2 linked regions of the Drosophila melanogaster genome follow. The protein of the gene in region 1 interacts with the protein of each later gene in a pairwise test. Each region holds a gene or a part of one and is shown on either strand. Other genes may lie near its edges. The genes, in order: Gmap and Rab2.

Evidence for each region.
Region 2: the proteins of Gmap (region 1) and Rab2 interact in a two-hybrid assay, tested with the Drosophila melanogaster proteins (one study listed by BioGRID).

The regions. Positions count from the first base shown.
Region 1 is NC_004354.4:15,483,990-15,490,670, reverse strand, and holds the start of Gmap (golgi microtubule-associated protein), read right to left. Parts: upstream 3,750-6,681; 5' UTR 3,430-3,749; coding exon 3,196-3,429; intron 3,131-3,195; coding exon 3,038-3,130; intron 791-3,037; exon of another isoform or gene 476-790; intron 1-475. Other genes in the region: CG6340 (uncharacterized protein), read right to left, coding at 4,230-5,339, 5,403-5,549.
Region 2 is NT_033778.4:6,695,037-6,701,809, forward strand, and holds Rab2 (Rab2), read left to right. Parts: upstream 1-1,702; 5' UTR 1,703-1,847; coding exon 1,848-1,893; intron 1,894-2,379; coding exon 2,380-2,539; intron 2,540-3,012; coding exon 3,013-3,349; intron 3,350-3,409; coding exon 3,410-3,508; 3' UTR 3,509-4,433; downstream 4,434-6,773. Other genes in the region: CG3270 (uncharacterized protein), read left to right, coding at 1-35; Mob4 (MOB kinase activator 4), read right to left, coding at 558-807, 856-1,229, 1,304-1,363; chk (chaski), read right to left, coding at 5,637-5,781, 5,846-6,086, 6,154-6,335. UniProt on the Drosophila melanogaster protein: May be involved in bidirectional endoplasmic reticulum (ER) to Golgi trafficking. Together with Rab7 involved in promoting fusion of autophagosomes and endosomes with lysosomes, probably through recruitment of the HOPS tethering complex.

The sequences.
Region 1 (6,681 bases):
TGATAAATTACAAAGCTATCAACTTAATGTTAACAGAAGAAAACTAAATAATTATTGATCTGCAATCATTATTTCATAATAAACATAGCTAGACATTATATAACTCACTTTACCATTAGTTAGGTACAGTAACAGGTAAAACTTCTAATAACGAATATATTTATACAATTGAATACAGAAAGCCAAATATTTTGACAAACATGTTTGCCTACCTAAGCTGTCTTTTGAACAATGGACTTTTATTAAAATATCCCCCCTAATTTACCATTTAGCTCAATTTTCGTGGCTTATTATCAACGCCAGATGCGTGTCGAGGGTTTTTGAGTTTTTCGGTTTTAGAGTTTTGGAGTTTTAATTCCTCACCGAAAGTCATCAAATCATTGCGCTCATAAATTTGACAATTAGACTAATTTTCCTGTTGCATATGGGAATGAACACGAAAAACTACACACTATCTACGTAATTTTCAACTCACCCAAAATAAATAGAGCAAAAGTACACACCAGAACACACGAAAAAAAAAATTAAAATGCAGTCGTCGCGAGACTTCCGGCAATAAAAAATGAATGCAAAGAACAAACAAACAAAAAAAAATGTTAAGAAAAATTGACCTTCTTTTTGGAGGAAAATTTCACACGATTTTCAAATGCAAATCGCGTTTGTTTTGCGTTTTTTCTTTTCTGTAATTTTTCAGGCCAAAACTGTGCCCACCGAATGAGAAAGAAACTGAGTAGAAATTAACACTTTATGCGGGCCTACGTGAATCGATCACACGGAACCGAATGAATGCCAGCCAGCAGGTGAACCGGGCTTTTATAGGCCCCCGGATCCAGGCAATCCAGCCAACCAACCCCCTCGATCCTGGCCAGCTTGGCCCGGATAAGATAACCCGAGCATGGTGCCATGCAGATGTCCCAAATGCCCGCCTAATGGGGATGATAATGGTTGGCAGGAGCAGATTGCCATATTCACGAAGGAGGAGTAGGAGTTGGTAGTGGCAGTGGAGGTGGGCCATGAGGGATGTGAATGAAAATGGGAATGGGAATGGGAATGGGGATGGAGATGGGGACGAGGGCACACTTATCGCCGGTCGCCTGGCGCAATTATGCAAAACAATATGGTGACCCAACTATCGATCCAAAAGATATGGCTATCTTTAGATAGTACATGCGAGATAGCCCAGAAGGAAAAATCTGGGAAAACATATATCCACATATATAGAAATCAAATGATGAAATGATGAAAGTTTGAGCCGATTAAGTCATATCTTACTCAAGAAGATCAAGATTTGAATTAGCTGACTAGAGCAACCATTCATCTATCGACATTAAATTAAAAGAATAGATCAAAATCGCTTACATGAAAGAATTATATATATGTATCAGATATCCGTATCGATTTTCCAACTGCTTACTGTTCAGATTTCGCCAGCTCCGATAAGGAATGAGTATTTATGGTTTATCTCTGAATATTCGTACTAAATGATGCAATTTTCCCTCATAATTTATGCTTCGCATGTTTGATAGGAACTCATTTTTACACAATCGATTAGCTAATCAGAAACAAATATAAAACATGAGTAATGATGGCCGAAACTAGAAAGATCAATTTGCCAATTTAAGCTGCAACCAAAACCGGATTTAGAGCAAATAAAAATCTGGCAAATCATAATGGCACGTTAAATTAACATAAATATATATCATATTGTATTTGATTATAAATTGATTAAAATATTTTGATGTTTTTTAAACAATCAATTTTAAAAGCATTTTTAATGAACAAAAAACTACAAAACTTTATATTATATTAAAAGAACCGTAAATTTCAAAAAGCAGGCAGTTTGAAAGTATACTCGTAATCCATATTGTAAAGTCTTTGGGATTTCTAATTTTTTACCTACTGGCAATGCGATCGATTTGAACTTTAGATCATAATACAATGGTTCATTATTTTAAGAATTAAATAAAGTATCTACGATTCTAATAAAATTGCCAAAGAGTAATTCAATCATTTCGAAAAAAATATAACATCTAACGCTATGGTTATATATGCATGTCATTTAGTATTTTAAAACTAGATCTACAATGTGAAAAGCCATATTTTTTATATTTAAGGTGACTATGGAAAATCTGGTACAGTTGTGCTTCAGAAAGATCTCCATCGCCCCAGTGACCAAACCAAATGGCTCCAAATGCAACCCCGTCACCCTGCATTTTCAACGGGAATATCAGACACTTGGGGTTGCGCTGCAGTAACTTGCCTAATCAGAAATAATTCGGTAAATTGAACAAGCAGTTGGCGAACGGAGGGCTATGGAGCGATAGGGTTAGCAGCACGCCTAGATAAGGCTAACAGGCATATGGGGTGATCGAAAAGGAGACCAGGGATTTATGACAGCCAGGCAAATAGCAGACACCAAACACCACCGAATGTGAAATCAAATAGAAGTTGCACGGGGAAAAAGGTGAATGGATGTCAAATGAAAAATCAGTTTAAATTCAAATTCAAATTTATCCAGGAGAAAGTTAATATAAAACCGTTTTTAGCATTAGATTGCTAATCCGAAAGCTCAAGACGCTCTAATGAAATATGGCTTACCCTGCCATACTATTAGTACATTCTTTGCAATCGAGAACTTGGCTTATTTTAAACCCCCCTTTAATTGTTGGCAAAACAGAAATCGGTGAATTCTAGCGCTTTGTAATCGTGCCACGGAAAACAACAATATGCCACTGCAACCATTTTTCTCTCCGTGTGAAGCATACAATGTGGCATCAGGTAAACGCGAGAAGTGCAGATAAAACTAGGGTAGTGCCGACTCCTAGCTTATCGCAGTTTAAATATTAATTCAGGGATATGTGGCCAAAAGCGAAACAGAGAGCGCGAGAGCTGGGCTTATCGCTTATTTGAAAGATAAAGCCGGTCAAACACCACTCCACGCCGGAGTGCAATGTTTCCTGGAAGACGGAGTGGGCACCGGATGTGGCATGGCCACATGGGGGCCAGCTGCAGGTCCCTCGGATCAAACGTCACTTACCAACTGCGGTTCCCGCGTAGCTGATGTGCTGGCTGCCAGCTGGGATTCCTGTTTCTGCTTGCTTTTGGCCAGTTCTCGGCGCAGGGCGGCTATCTGAAAGGGGCAATCGGATGGCCATTGGTGAAGAAGCCGCAAAAGTGACTGTGAGTTGGCTTTACCTCACGATCCTTCTCCTCGCACCGCTTGTCCAGCTGCTCCTTCTGCTCCTGGGTTTCGGCCAGCAGTTCCAGGGCTGTCTTGGCCTGCTGCTCGGCGTCTTGGACGCTAGCACCTCCTGCTTGATGTCCCTCATACTCCAAGTCGCCGGGTCCTGCCGTTTCGGCCAGAACTTCCTGCGCCAGATTGGTTAGTTGGCCCTTCAGCTGGCTGAGACTGCTGTTCAGCCACGACATCTTCGCTGCTCTCTTCTGGGCAGCGTGGGCGGATAGGGGGCGTGGCTCTTCTCGACGAGATCACTCCGCTTTTGGCTAGCTGATTGCTAATTTCGGATGAAGTATGCTTAGTTTTTTGGAAACGATAATTTTTTTTGCGTGGCAGTGGCACAAACTCAAGCGGTTCTGTTTGCTTCGTTCCACAATTTAAATCCAATTTGGCTGTTTGTTTTAATAAAGGATGTGTAAGCTTTATATGCTTTTGTTTGTGTTCTAGTAGTATTAATTCTCTTATTTATTATTATTTTTATTATTAGTTTGTGATATGGTATCGATATCCGACGTCCTATCGTCAGCTGATTTTGTTATTGTTATTGTTTTTGGTCAGCTATCGATTGGCGATAGGCAGACCGACCGCCAAGGTGCATGGCAAAAAACTGACATCTACTAAACAGAGTGCCAAAATTTAAAATTGTTTATTGTAAAAAAAAATACCTTTATTTATTATTGAATATTCAAGCATTCTTCGATTAGAGCCGCTGAACTTTGTAGTTAAAGTTGGATACTCTTAGCATACTTAGTAATAGTGTAGACTAAAAGTCTACCTAACGACGCATTTATCCCAAGCAAATCCAAAGAGAGAGCCACGTCACTTCATAAATTCTGTTGCAACGTTTATTTGAAATCAAAAAAACAAAAAATTTTCTCAACACAAACAAAAAGTTGTTGAGGAGAAACATATTGACTGACTAATGAGTTGAGTGAGTGGCATGGTATTTACAGCCTGGCAGGGAGCCGATCCTCCTCCGTTCCGATCCCTTCTAGAAAGTACGTGGCTGGGAGCCGAAACCAAGCCCCACGCCACGCATCGTGTGTGTGGCGGCTCGCGCCATCTCGTACTGCTGCTCCATGTTGGAGAACATGCGCTGGCGCTGCTGCACGTCCGTGGGCACTTTCGTTCCGCCAGCGGCTCCCGATGGCGCAGCACCTCTTACTGCGCGGTTTCCCTCGCCTGCTGCACTTCCATTGGTGGACTCCGCCTGGCCGCCCTTGCCATCGTCATTGCCGGACGTACCAGCGTTCTTGATACCCATGAGCCGCATAAACTTGGAGGCCACCTTGCCGTCGGAGTCCTGGGAGAAGTGCGCGTTGCCCCACTTGTTCGCCGAGTTCTCGCTCTTCTTGGAGCCCCACAGTAGCTTGCGCTTCTGCTGCTGCTCCGCATAGCGATTGGCATTGATGATGCTCGGATTGTAGTAACTGGGCAGCTGGATGGGTTCTGCGACTGGTGCTGCTGCCGCTGGTGTGCTCAGCTCCAAGGACATCAGCGAGGGTATCTTGGGCGCATAGTTGGGCGTGGGCAGGAGACCGCCGCCACCGCCGCCGGATGAACCGGCTGCCATGGCTGCGGCTGTTGCATTGGCAGCTACCAGAGCGGCCGCTGCAACCCTCGCCGCTGCTGTTGCATTAGTTGCCGTTGATCCTGCTCCGCCGCCTGATTTAGCGAGCAGCATATGAGATCCGGCCACAGCTCCACCGCGAAGTGTTGTGGCTTGTTCTTCCTTCGGAGATCTGGAGCGGCTGCTGGAGTCGCGTTCGCGATATTTGCGTGACTGTTGCGACTGATGGCGGCGACGAGAGGGCGGCGTGCCCGTTGGTGTGCGGGAACCGGATCGAGAGTCCCGGCGACGACGACTGCGTTCATCATGGGATCGACGGACTGATGCTGCACTGACCGCTGCAGCGGCGGCTGACGATGAGTTGTTGTGATGATGATGATGGCGTTCCTTGCCACTGTGGTGGCGACTGCTCTTCTCCGAACGCCTACGGTCCCGATCCTTGTCGCGATCTCGCTCCCTCTCCCGGTCACGATCCCGCTCCCGCTCTCTGTGGCTGTCGCCGTCTTTGGTACGATGGTGGCGATGGTCGCCCTGTAAATAGCACAGACATTAGTTTGGCTGAGTTATGCTGAGTTGATTAGGACTCTGTCTCACCTTGCTGTGATTCTTGTCGCGTCCTTTGTCGCGACTGCGTTCTGAATCGCTGCGCTTCTTGTCCTTGTCCCTGTCACGTTCGCGGTCGCGGTCCCGTTCCCTGTCCTTGTCCCGCTCCTGGCGGTGGCGACTGCTGGGCTTCGGCTCCTGGAACGGGATGAAGCAACACATTGAGGAGAATTACATTAGAGCGTATGGATCTACGAATCTGCGCCGGCGACTAAGGATCTAGGTCTAGTTGCTAGATGCTTAGGATGCTGGAGGGGAAATAGAAAGAGGATTCGGGCTGTGGGCCACCAGCTGGGGTCCTTTCCGGGGTGTCCTAGATTGCTTAGAGAGTTGTTAGGTTCTATTTGATCGCTTTTTGTATACTCACTTTCGTGCGCCTTGATCTCTCTTTCGCATTATCTCTCTCTCTCTCTCTCTCTCTCGCTTTCGCGCCACCAGTGAGTGAGTGAGTGGGTGGATGGGTGGGTGGTTGTGTGTGTGTGTGTGTGTGCGGGCGGGCATGTGTGTGGTGAGTGTGATCGTTCTATTTGCTTTTACCTTTTTCAGTGGCTCACACACACCCACCAACACAGCCACAGAGTCGCACACAGGACTACACACACAGTGGTGGTCATAACAAATTTGATCGATTGTCGCACTATCGAAGAAGCTATTGGTAATCGAGCGATTACTACGATCGGGCTATCGTCAATTATCGTCGGTCAGGTTTGTTTTCGTTTTTTGTTTTTGACTTGTTTGTTTGGAAAATGGTTTTTCGTTTTGGTTCGATTCGGTTTCGTTTACGTAACAACAATAACAATGATAATAAAATGGTAGAGTTTAGTCATTTAAATATTGATTGGCATATAAAGTTTGTAGACTTAACTAAGCTGGCCGAACAACAACAACAACAATGTGTGTGTAAATCGCAAGCGGACCGAACAAACAGAATTTTCTGTCTTTGGATTTAATTTTGAGTTTTTGGCCCATATAAATCTGGCAGTAGCGAAATTTGGATGTAACGGGTTGGAGCGCATGCAGTCGATCGTGGAGATCAATATACATAAATATATGAATATTGAATTTTTCAGTTGGGAACAGCAGATGACTAAATAATAGCACAAGAAAATGCCTGAAGCCCCTAAAGATGCAGAATCTAACAAGATCTGCGATTTATATCTGTAACTAATGGAAGTATTAATCAATGATAACCGAAGTAAAGCTGAACTACAAGACTACAAGAAAAGATTGTGAATCTGTTCTTTTCTTTAATTGCAATATAAACTATAGA
Region 2 (6,773 bases), on another chromosome or scaffold:
ACCAACAGCCTATGCACGAAGTGAATATCGTTTGACAAATTTATCACAGGAGGATCGTACTTGCCCTTGGTGTGTTTATGTATGTACTTCTTTTATTGCAATTTCTGTTGTGTATATAGTAATTTTGTATAGTAAAGTTCACGTTTTAGTCACGTACAGCTGTGTTGGTGTTTTGGCTGCCAGTAGTCAAGGGAATTTAGTTTAGTTTACGGGGATTTGACGTGGAATCAGCCACGAGAAGGTCGTGTGCCTACATATAATTTATTAAAATAAGGAGTTAAACATAATCGTAATATAACTTGCGAAATAATTGCTGACTTAGGATCAGATGGGGCGAGCGGGTTTGAGGGGGTCTGCCCTTGTTACTTAGTTATCGTTATGTAGCTCTATGTGTATCTGACATCTAAACTACATACAAGATCTGCATTAGAGTCGGGTCCGCGTGGAATCGTTTCCCTGTCAGGGTGAGCCAACCCAACTTGCAAGCTATTGGTAAATATAAATAGATGTATGTTGAATGAGTGTTTCATGCGAGTCTGACTAATCTGGGCGGGCTCCTAAGCCTCGCTTTCGCCAGGGGCCGCGTTTTCACCCACGTTGATGGGCACGATCAGATTCTCCTTCGACATCAGATTATATTTTGTGACGAAATGCGTGAAACGGTGGCACAGATACGTCTCGGCCTCGAATTCGTCGAAAATGCGACGATGGTGAAAGTAGGCGTGCGAGAAGATGCGATACACCCGCCGACATACGGAGCCCAGCTTGGTTACCGACGACTCCTTGATGGACACCCTGGGAGAGACACTTTGCTTATTATGTGGCTAGTTCAACCATGTCGCTAAGCCTGCATACCTGCTAGGGAAGTACTTGTTGCTGTTTAGCAGACAGGCGGCACCGTCCAGCGTGTGGCGTGTGTAGTCAATGGCCGGACATTCCTTGGGCGTCTTGTGCGCGGCGCACAGGAATATCCACTGGTCAGTGGCTGTCATCTGGGTGCACGTCGACGGCGAGCACTCCTTCTGCAGCCGCACTGCCAGGCCGTTCAGCTCCATGCAGAACTGGCGCAGGTGCTCGTACTTCCACACGCCCTCATCCTGGGCTTCGGGCATGGTCAGTATGAGTTCCACGTTGCTCGGGTCGCGCTTAATCAGCTGCTGTATGTACTGCTGCACCGCCAGCGTGCTGTCCATCTCCTCCAGGGGCTCGTCGGGCCAGCGACAGAAGTCCTGAAAGGCGAAACGGAAAACGGGTCAGACGGGCCGGGCCGGGATCGTTGTTCGGACGCCATGTCATCGCTCACCTTGGATTTTGTGCCTGGCCGGTTCCTACGCAATATGGTCGAGCCGTCAGCCATCTTCATGTTTCACCCGCTCGAAGACGCGATGATCCACAACGTCTGTGCCTACGCCTTGATGAGAAAATCACTGGCAGAAACTGAATGCTAGCCTGGTCCCTGCCCCGCGGGAGTCTCCGGATGTGGGATCCCTGCACCGTAGTATGCTGAGTGTATTCTACAGGAGCTGGCACATCGCTTGACAATTAATTGGCGTTTATCCTCCAAAACACTTTGCTTTGTGCGAGAAAATTTCTGACAAATTCTACATACATACATATACCTATCGATTGGCCAGCGGCAGTGCGCATCGTTATCGATAGGGCGATTGCAGCCTTGCGGTATTTCGGTATTTCCGCCAGCCCTGGCCACAAAGTGGCCACACTGTCGCTAGCCAGTCATCATAAATACGAACAGATTGGAAAACGTACAAGAATTGCGTATTATCTGTGGCATTACGAGATCGTACTTTCTAAAAACTAGCTTACCGTAACCCCCGTCAGCTTAAAACATGTCCTACGCGTACTTGTTCAAATACATCATTATCGGAGACACAGGTGAGTGCAAGCTGCGACTTCCTTTGAAACGGAATGGCCAGTGAAAAGTTGGCCATTGTCAGGGAAACAATCTGTAATTGCAAACAACACAACAAAACAAAGGGCATCGCAGGCGTAGGGGTCGTACCCGAAAATCAAAAAATGGGGGTTTCAGGTGGTCTCAAGTGAAAAATTGATACCGTGAGATCAAAATTGCGTCGGCAGGAAAATATTCCTGGAGTCGGTGGGCCGAAGGAAAAATCAATAATACCATAACAACGCATACAGGCGTTTGCTGCTCTCAGAGTTAGTGGTGCGCGGGGAGCAGCCCACACATAAACCCTGCTGCTGACTCACCCAACCACCCCCAGTAATTGAGGGATTCCGCCCCAAAGAGCCACGGGCTTATCAGCACTCTGCTTTTCGGGATGTCCAACAGCTGTTGGCATTTTCCAGCCTGTCCCACCTTTTCCCCGCTCGCCCACTAACCCTTTTCCGTTTCCGCAGGCGTGGGCAAGTCCTGTCTGCTGCTCCAGTTCACGGACAAGCGATTCCAGCCGGTGCACGACCTGACCATTGGCGTGGAGTTCGGAGCACGCATGATCACCATCGACGGCAAGCAGATCAAGCTTCAAATCTGGGACACGGCTGGGCAGGAGGCTTTCAGGTACCCACTTCTGTTCATTTAGTGTTAATACTTAAGAAGGGATAAGTGAAAGCTCAGATTACTTCCAAAATTGAACTGAATAAATTTTTGCAAATTTCGTATCCAAAACCCCAAGTCCAAGGCGGATAATAATTCGGCTCGTTTTTTATATTAAATAAAATAATTTGAATAAAATTCTTACTTAATGATCCAAAATAATAATAATATATATATATAGAGCCTTTAGTAAAAAGGCTTAATAATTTGTATTCAAAAAATTTTATTTGCTTCATTTCGGCACATTGTTGATAGATGTTTATTTAAAAAAGTTTTAATTCTATCATTTTTAATTTTTTGTGATATAAATTTTTTATACTTTACTTAAAATTAAATAGAAGTCGTCAGACAGAAATTTAATGGGTTACTAATAATTAAATAATATAAGCACTGTCATTTATATAACTGTATTGTGACGCAAAATATTTCTTGAATAGATCTATCACACGCTCTTATTACCGCGGAGCTGCTGGCGCCTTGCTGGTGTACGACATCACGCGACGGGAGACCTTCAACCACCTGACCACCTGGCTGGAGGATGCGCGTCAGCACTCGAACTCGAACATGGTCATTATGCTGATAGGCAACAAGAGCGATTTGGATTCGCGGCGTGAGGTGAAGAAAGAGGAGGGCGAGGCCTTCGCCCGCGAGCACGGACTGGTCTTCATGGAGACTTCTGCGCGCACAGCTGCCAACGTAGAGGAGGCGTTCATAAATACGGCCAAAGAGATTTACGAGAAGATCCAGGAAGGTGTCTTCGACATCAACAATGAGGTAAGAAGGATACATTTAACTTAGAAACTTCTTGCCACTACATTATTATCTCGTTACTAGGCAAACGGCATTAAGATCGGCCAACAGCACTCCCCCACAAACCCGTCGCTCCCAGGAGCCGGAGGAGCAGCTGGAGCAGCAAACAGTGGCTGCTGCTAGGAGTAAACCGCAGATGCCCGATTGCAATTCTGGGATAGGCGCAGCCGCTTCTGTAAAAGCTACTTTAGTGACTAACTAATAGAAGGTAGTTGAAGGAACAGATTTCTTGTTTTCTATCTCAACCGTAACTAACCACGTAAACATAGCTACCACTAATCTAGCAATTGGACACTAAGCTAAATGTTAAAACCATTAAGATCAGACAGTTACAAGAAACACATCTCCTTGTTCAGCTACGTTTTATTTTACCAAAAAAAACCAAAAGGAAGAAGTAACCAGAAATAAACCAAAACAAACCACATTTGTGTACGTGAATGTCGTGCGTGATTTCTAAATTTTATAAAGTTTATTGAAACATTTTTAAATGTTTTATGCATGTATTTTGTGTATATTGAAGTTAGTTTGCTAGTTACTTCGTGTAAAATCGATAGTTATACATTGGGATTTTGACAAAATGATGTGTAATATATGAACAAAAATCAAACTGTGTGAATTTTCATTGTGATTCGATTTCAGTGAGGTCCAGCTTCGCAACGCTGCGCCACGCCCCCTTTTGCAATGGGTATCTGCTCCGCTTCTCTATACACACATACATAATTAAATATATTAATATGTTTACGTTTCCTTCTCAACGCATTTGCTTTGTCTATTTTGTTGTGCAATCCGCTTAGTCTTTATACATACACTAGAAAAAAAGTACTTTAACAAAATATACAAAACGTGAGGGCCGAAATGGGGTTATATAATTTACACAATCAACATGCATTAACCAGTGGTAACACGAAATGCTGCGATTCAATGATCAATTTAGTATTTTACGAAGTTTATATATTTAATTAACGGCGATTGCTAAGACAAAACGAAAGATACAACTGTAAACGTAAATCAAATTATTTATAATATTTGTATTTGCCCAACACAATGCGGAATAATAAATATACATACTTACTATTAATATAATTATATAAATTAAATCGGTACTTACCTTGGGTTCATTAGCGTTTAATCAAGTGATAGTTAACGACTAATTAGTTTTTTGGTGTCTAGATGAGAAGTAAAACACTAAGGCAAATTTAATGAGGCATTTAAAGTTGTAAACAACTCAACTTTTAAATGAAAAGAGGTCAGACAAATAATTACGCATTAGTGTAGTTTTAACCCTTTTTATTTAGTAAGAGGCTTTCGGTAGATAATTGTTGAATTAATGTCTTGTAAATATTATTAAATGGTGAATCCTTTTTTGTTTATGTACATATTTCCTAAAGTGTTCGGAATTAACAATTTCCACTTTCTATGTCGGCTATAGGGATATAGTGTCGCATTTACTTAATTTTTTTAAATGTGCTTACATGTTAAAACATTTTTTTACTACTGAAATATACTATTTAGAAATATTTTTGTATTTTTTTTTAATAATACTTGAACTTTTAAGATATTACATAGGTTTGTTTCTTATTTTCTGAATCTTATCTGTGTTTTGTCTAAGAAAAAGTTTGCCAAACTGCAAAAACAAGTTTTTCGCTTCAACATTAACTATTTTTTATACCCTAATTTGCTCAGTTGGTTTTTTTTAATTGGAAACTATTCGGATCCGTGACGTTTGATGTACAAACAAATGCTCCAAAGATTTTATTGTGAGTTTTAGATTGATTGAAAATGGTCACTTGTTATTGCATACGTTACATAGATTGTTGTTTATTGTATTCCCTTTAATTAATATTCGTACGAAATGTAAGGCAATTAAAACTATTTTTCTAAATTTTGTAAAGAAGACAATTGAGGGACCCGTTTGCACCTGGCAGTGATGCACTGCATTGATATTGATTGAAATTGAACAGTTTGTCTAGACAAAGATGCGGTTAGTAATTGCCCTAGTGCGGTAAGTATATGTTAGGTGTATATTGATACTTAGCTACGATTAGTCAAGTCAAGTATAGTCTTACAGGCTAGAGCTTAGGAATAGGCTTAGTTTCAGTTACAATTCTGCTCTGATTTTATGGCTGCAACACCATTTGACATAAGAAACTCGTTAACATTTAATGCTAGTCCATTATTATGCTACAGTTCGGATTTGTAGTACCTCCAGTTGCCTTCTACTTGCGGCGTTCAACAGTGCAATGTAAGTAACCTAGTGTAAAAGTTGAGCTTTTTTAGTCTCTAAGACATCACTATCACTCTCCTTAGGTGCTTTCTTTTCACAGAACTCGATCAGATACGAACAGACACCAGAGAGTGCGATAAATATTCCAGCATAATAGAAGGTGTCATCCCATCTGAAAGAGGACAACGGGTGGTCAGATAACCTGTGCACAGACTGTAGAATGCCGCCCAACTCACCTGCCCGTATACTCGTATATGACGCCTGCAATAGGGGGTCCTGCGATCATTCCAACTCCCTGAACCAGCAGCACCAGACCGTAGGCACACGTGAAATCGTCCAGATCCACAATACTGACCAGAATGCTGGGCGTAAACGAGAAGGAGCTGGCGAACGTAAATCCGAAAATAACGCACATGACCATCAGGCCCATGTAGTTGGTAATCAGCAGGGGCATGAAGAACACAGACGCTCCGCACACTGAAAAATATAATAAATAATAAATTCAATTGATAAATTGAAAATGTGACATAGTCCAAGCACTCACCCAGCATGCACAGCGAGTAGCATATATTGATGTTCATCCAGGACAGATCCCCCAGATAGCCAAGTCCTATCATGCCCACCGTTTGGGCAATGCCGACATCCGAAATCAACTCGGCACTCTGGCTCACGTCGTACTTGTATTGCTTCATGTAATCGGGAAGGTACAGATAGGGGATAATGAACCTGTGGAGCGTGCCAAAAAGTAGATTAGCCGCTGATTGAGCAGAGGAGCCTTATCTGGTCAATGTTGAGGAGTTAGCATTGATTTCAACTAGTTTTCTTATCGATCTATTAGGGCACTCGGACTCCGCAGTCGTGGGGTAAGATAAACCATGATCTTGAACAGCTAAGGGGGCCTACTAACTGAGCTGATCGATAACGTTGTGCTTGGAATTTCACCGCTGTTGGCCAACAATATTGTTGTGCAACGCTTTTCGTTTTCGAACAGCTGCCAAAATTGTTTGCGACGTCTTCTGGCAAAATAAACAAATTCACGCGACGGCTTGGCACATTTGTCTATTAATTTTAGCATTTATTGCGCCTTGAGTTCATGCACAGCTTGGGGCCTTTGCCAATGAAATTGTTTTTTTTTTTTTTTTATTAATATCACCAAAGAGTACT